Neurospora crassa OR74A: one gene and its partner. The protein of the gene in region 2 interacts with the protein of the main gene of each other region in a pairwise test. Links are inferred from orthologs where the notes say so. Each region holds a gene or a part of one and is shown on either strand. Other genes may lie near its edges.

What was found.
Region 1: the proteins of myo2 (region 2) and NCU06617 interact in binary tests that used the Saccharomyces cerevisiae proteins (3 or more experiments, as listed by UniProt). The link is inferred for Neurospora crassa OR74A from reciprocal best matches to the Saccharomyces cerevisiae genes MYO1 and MLC1.

The regions. Positions count from the first base shown.
Region 1 is NC_026504.1:1,814,925-1,818,235, forward strand, and holds NCU06617 (myosin regulatory light chain cdc4), read left to right. Parts: upstream 1-1,301; 5' UTR 1,302-1,432; coding exon 1,433-1,435; intron 1,436-1,976; coding exon 1,977-2,130; intron 2,131-2,204; coding exon 2,205-2,438; intron 2,439-2,525; coding exon 2,526-2,554; 3' UTR 2,555-2,799; downstream 2,800-3,311. Other genes in the region: NCU06616 (S-adenosylmethionine-dependent methyltransferase), read left to right, coding at 1-938. UniProt on the Saccharomyces cerevisiae protein: Essential light chain for the class II conventional myosin MYO1. Also acts as light chain for the class V unconventional myosin MYO2 and for IQG1.
Region 2 is NC_026501.1:8,033,538-8,036,437, reverse strand, and holds the end of myo2 (myosin type-2 heavy chain 2), read left to right. Parts: coding exon 1-1,530; intron 1,531-1,591; coding exon 1,592-2,089; 3' UTR 2,090-2,398; downstream 2,399-2,900. UniProt on the Saccharomyces cerevisiae protein: Required for cell division.

The sequences.
Region 1 (3,311 bases), on a different chromosome or scaffold from region 2:
GCTCGACGTTCTCCTCTGCTGGGTATGCTGCCTTTCGGCCCTCATATCCCTCGGTTCTTTACGACCGGGTGTTGAGATTTCACGGCAAAGAGGCCCCTTCCTCCCCATCACCATCGTCGTCTTCGCCGGCAGCTGGAACACTGCTAGACCTTGGCTGCGGACATGGCTTAGTGGCGCGCGCACTCGCTCCCTATTTCAACCGTGTTATCGCCCTTGATCCTTCGGCCGGCATGATTGAACAGGCTCGCAAGCTAACCGGCGACAACTCCAAGATTACGTTCAAGCAAGGCGGAGCCGAGGACCTTTCTTTCCTTGACGACAATGCCGTTGACTGTGTGGTTGCTGGCCAAGCGGCGCATTGGTTTGACTACTCCAAGGTCTGGCCAGCACTTGCACGGGTCGTGAAGCGCGGCGGAACCCTGGCTTTCTGGGGTTACAAGGACCACATCATCGTTGGGCGGCCGGAAACAACGCCCATCTTTGACAGGTTCATCTACGGCGAGACAGAGCCGGTGCCGGGCGTGGAAAGCATGATGTGCTTTTGGGAACAACCCGGCCGGAACATATTACGGGATTCACTGCGGGAGGTGGTCCCTCCCGAGAGGGAATGGGAACATGTGGTCCGTATTGCTTGGGATCCCAATCGTGAGACGGGCGACATTAGCGATGCTCCGGAAGAGGCCACTTGGTTGCGTCGGAGGCTCAAGTTGGGCGAGTTGGCGAGCTATATTCGCACGTTCAGTGCCTTCAGTGGTTGGGGAAGCGCCCATCCCCAGATGAAGTGCAGGGCGGACGGAGGAGAGGGCGACATTGTTGACTTGATGTTTGACGAGGTTGTTGCTGCGGTGCCGGAATGGAAAGCGGCGGGGGATCGATGGGCCGAAATCGAGGTTGATGCTATTTGGGGAACCGTTTTGTTGATGGCGAAGAGACGATGAACTGGAAAGGTAGTGTACAATTAAGTGTGGTGAAGAGACGATACTGTACAGTGGTGGTGGCTGACGTTGAACCTGCTATCCGGGCAGTATCACCGGCCCCCTTGCGTAACCAAGGTGCTCTCTGTCAGTAGATGTCTCTCTCGATTGAGCTAGCGGGCATGCAGTGCTGCTGTATCGCGAGTTGTCACCAGTGCCAGTGGGTGGTTGCCCTCCATTGGCTGCCACCGCGACCGGGATGCGGGCGCATAAGGTCGGGTACTGCGTAATGGCACAGACCAGTCAGCGCAACTCCCTGTCCGCAGCTCATTTCGCGGCGGGAAGGGAAGCCCAAATCGATCGCCCACTCCTTTTGCATCTAGCCTTGGTTCGCTTCTTGACCGTTCTTCTGAATAGCATCATCTTTCGCATCGAATCCATCAGCCAGCGTACTTGCATCGACTAGCCCTTGCGTCCTCTTTTGCGCATTCAAACGACATTCCCCCCCCTGAGACACAATGGTAAGTGGACCTGTCCCTGTTCATCCGCCGCGGGCACTGGCACGCGCGCGCGCCCCTCTCCATCCCTCCATCCCAAGTCCCAACCCCGACGCACGGAAACAGAAAGCATGCGAAAGCAAGAGCCAGGAACCCCGCGGTTGCCCATGACAACAAAGGCACAAGGTGCCACAACCTTGGAAGCCGCAGCGTTCTGCGTTGAATCGGAGCACTACCTGTAAAATGCGCCTGCGCCTGCGCCCGGCTTGAGCGTTGAGCTGCCAGGTCCTGCTTCGGCATCCATCCATCACAGACCAAAAAAACACCATTCATTTTGCCAACTTTCGATCGCATCGCTGCTCCCTTGCCGCTTGGGTTTCTGCGCCTTGTTCTCGCAACCATCGCCCTCGTCCTCTCGATTGCCGACTCTAGCACGATCGCAAAGCCAGCGCTTTTGCTTACGCTCAACCTACCGCGATTTACTACATACCCGCATTCTTGAAAGAACATTTCATTGCGACAGCGCAACTCAGGAATCATGGCATCTAACCAGTTCGACGGTCAGGCTTCTACCAACTACAAGGAGGCGTTCTCCCTGTTCGACAAGCGCGGCAACGGCCGTGTTGCCCTCGACAGCTTGGGTGACCTGCTCCGCGCTTGCGGCCAGAACCCCACGCTCGCCGAGATCCGCGAGCTCGAGAAGAACGTTGGTGGTGATTGTGAGTAATACCCGAGCGGAAACAAGTAGTTCATCTGAGATTAGTTACTAACAGATGCCCTTCTCATCCGACAGTCGACTTCGAGACCTTCCAGCGCGTCCTCAACCGGCCAGGTGGCTTCCGTGATCCCGGCGAGCCCGAAGAGTACTGCCGCGGTTTCCAGGTGTTTGATAAGGACATGACGGGTTTCATCGGCGTTGGACAGCTCAAGTACATCTTGACAAACCTTGGCGAGAAGATGACGGACGAGGAGGTAGACGAGCTCCTCAAGGCCGTTGATACTAGCTCCGGCCAGGTGAACTATACCGGTATGTCAGCCTCAGCACTTGCTGTTTGCTTGCCCTTTGCGTGAAACCTAGGAGTCTCGACTAACAATATGTGTACGACGCAAACAGAGCTTGTCCGGACCATCCTTGCCAACTAAAATATTGAGTAGAGGTGGTACGGAATGATGACGAGGGAAACTGGGTTTGGAGGTCAAACATCATGGGGCATAGTCGAATAGAAATCGCGGGACAAATCCGTCCACGGAGAAGGCGTCATATACCATCTATTACAGGGAAATCGCATGTGTTATAATCCAGGCAGGCGTCGGAGTCTTGATAAGATATGAATTTGGACATATCATTTACCGGGAACTGAAAGGCTTTCCGGACGTGTGTCTTAACCAACTACGCTAGATTGGGTTCCACGCCTGATCTTTCTTCCGTCCCCTTCTCTTGCGTGACGGAGGCGTGTTTCCAAGTATACGTTGTTTGCCCAGTACTCAGCAGTACAATATTCGTCATGAATCCCTTTTCGCTCTACTCGAAAAAGGGCTCGACCCTGTCAGTTTGCTTCGGGTAAGGCAAATGACATGAAACATCACAAAGGATGAATATGAGAAAACAAGGCCCTGGAGTTTGTATAGTCACTGGAAACAAGGCCAAACACGTTTCCGTCTTCCTTCGAATTCGGGCTCAAAGGGGATGTGGGGATTCCGATGTCCCTTTTCCGGCCTTCAGTCTGGGTACGGTCAGGAAGTGGAAGCAAGGTGTATCACTTGGCGGTATCTTTGGAGATGTTAATTCCTGTGTTGGATGACCAGAGAGGGGGTAACCAGTACTCAAATACTGCATTATCTAAAGCATCTATGTAATGTTCCTGCAGTAGACTGGTAACTTACAATGTCCGGTCGCGGA
Region 2 (2,900 bases):
CTGGAGCGTACCGCGTCGGGTGAAGAAGACGCATACCTCGACGAAAGCCCACAGCTTCGGCGGGTGCAGAAGCTTGAAAAGGCCAACAACCGACTTCACGAACTCCTTGATGATTCCTCCAAGAAAGTGTCGGCTTTGGAGAAGGCTCTTCGCACCGGTGAGCTGTCGCTTCGTGACATCCAGACCAGGTCTCATGAAGAAATCCTCGACTTGCTTAATAGCCAGGAGGACTCGCGACGGTCACTCTTGCACAGCCACAAGGATGCGGTTGCAGAGCTGACGGAACTCAAAGAGCACTATGACAAGGTACGACACGAGCGTGCCAAGCTTGAAGTCGATCTCCGCGACGCCAGGTCGGATCTCCAAGAGATGTCGCTCGCCAGGGATCAGGAGGCTGCAAGCCGGAGCCAACTACTCCAAGAGTTTGCGGACCTCCAGATTCGCCTGGATGCTGAGGCGTCCAAGCTGGCTGACGTAACAGCAAGCCTTAACCTCTATAAAGGTCGGGCGGATGAGTACTTCAGCAAACTTGAACAGGCAGAGATTGCCGTTCTCAAGGCCAACCGGGCGGAGGCGTTCGCTAGAGCGCAAGCCAAGGAAGCGGAGGACAGCTGTGCGGAGATGATGTCGGAGAGGAAGCGTCTGGATACAATGATTGAGGATCTGCAACACTCGAACCAAAGGTTGGAAGAGAAGATTGAAGACATGTCGACGGACCTTGCCGCCGTTACTCAGGCCAAGAAGAGGCTTCAGCACGAGCTCGAAGATTACCGCAACCAGCGTGCTAACGACATTGAGGATAAGGAATCGAGCATGGAGCAGATGCGCAAGAAGTACCAGGCCGAGTTTGCGACACTGGCCAACGAGCTCGATCGGGCCCGCGAGGAGAAGCTACGCAAGCAGTCGGAGATTACGAGACTCCGGGAAGAGCTGGACGAGCTTCGGTCCAAGTGGGATGACGAGGTCCTCAACAGCTCGACGTGGTCTAAGGAGAAGGCGCGGCTGGAGGCGACTCTCTCGGACGTGGTGGCCTCTCGCGACGAAGCTGTCAGCGCCCACAACGAGGCTCAAAGCAAGATTGTCACGCTCCTTGGCCAGGTACGGTCGCTCCGCTCGTCTCTTGACGAGATCACGGCTGAGCGCGACGCCCTATTCCGTGAGAAGAGGAGCATCGAGGCAAGGCTTGAAGAGGCCAAGGCTGGTCTCGATGAGCTGGCCAACAGCGAGAGCCCGTCGCTGCGCAACGCGGCGCACATGGACAGGGAGATCCTAGAGCTCAAGTCTAGCCTTGCTCAACAGGAAGACATCGCTGCGGCTGCCGTCGAGAAGATGCGGCGCGCCGAGGCGCTTGCTGCCGAAGTCCAGAAGGACATTGCTGCTGAGCGCGAGAACAATGCCGATTTGCAGAAGCAAAAGGTTACTCTCGAGAAGAACTTTAACGAGCTGCAGATGAAACTCATTGATCTTGAGACCAAGGGCTATTCCACTGCCAGCCACGACATCAAATTCTTGCACAGCCGCATCAAGGAGGTAAGTTTATACGGAGTAGTCCTTGCTTTCTTAGCATCAACAGCTAACTCATCATCACCAGCTTGAATCCCAGCTCGAAGAGCAAGAAAACGAGCGCAGCAAATCCCAGCGTTCCGTCCGCAACGTCGACCGCATCGTTAAAGACCTGCAGTCCCAGATCGACCGCAAGGACAAGCAGAACACGCAACTCCAAGAAGACGTGACGCGCATGCGTGACAAGGTTGACAAGTTGCTCAAGACCATTGACGAGCTGCAATCCTCGGAATCGGCCAATGAGCTGTCAGCCCGTCGCGCGGAGCGTGAGCTGCGCGAGGAAAAAGAAAAGGCCCTGAGGCTGGAGCGCGAGCTCGAAGGGTGGAAAAACCTCCGCATGGAGAAGGGCTCCGCTATGGGCGGCGGCGGCGGCGGCAGCGGCAGCGTGGCAGGAAGTGTGCTGGGTAGTATCCGGGGCAAGAGGACGTTCACAAATGATAATATGCAGATGGATGGTGTGATTGAGATTCCGAAGAGGAAGAGCAGCATTAGTAGGGCGCCGAGTCTGACGAAGGGGTTTATTTGAGCTTTGAGGTGTCTATAGGGATGAAGATGAAAACTTGTTGGTGGTGATGAGAAGAAAGTGCAAGGGGTGTAATTAAGTTGGTATGGTGGAGAGGGCAGTCTCTAGACATCTGGAATAATTCTGTTGGTTTACTTGTCCTGAAGAAAGCTGAGAAGCTGATGTTGTTTAAAGGCCGATCGTGTGTTAGGAAGGGGCTGAGAAGGGCGGAATTAGGTGGTTTCTCTCAAGACGTTTGTCGTACATATAGCTGTTTGCTAACTTTGTATGTTAGTTGGTGTATATGATGAAAGTATTGTGTGTTAGGTTGTGTAGTGAAGGGACTGTGCAAAGCTGCTATACTATCGTGAAAGTGCCGTTATGCGGTCGTTGCGAGTCTAAATGATGATGATGATGATGAATCAAAGCGGTAATCTGGAAGACGTCAAGCTCAAGGTACCCGCAGAAGTCACGAGGTCACGGCGATTCACTTTTTTCTTTTCTTTTTTTTTTTTTTTTCTTTTTTGCGCGCAGGAAGATATGACCGGGCTGTCAGAGGTTTTGCCAAATGCAGTTCGCAAGCGTAGCAGAGCGTGTGCGCAGTTGTTGGGCACCTTCAACCCTGCCGTTCGGAACCCTAGGTCACGATATGATATAAAGTGGTGTTGTTACAGAAACAAAGGGCATCGTGGAGAGTGTTGTGTGTTGGTGCATAGGATATCTGTGTACGTCTTGCTCAATCGTGACGGTATAGGGTATTGCTAAGTAACATATTCGAATCCTGAACGAAAGCTGGAATCGAGCTGGTTTGGAAGGAGGGAAGGGAACGTCGAGT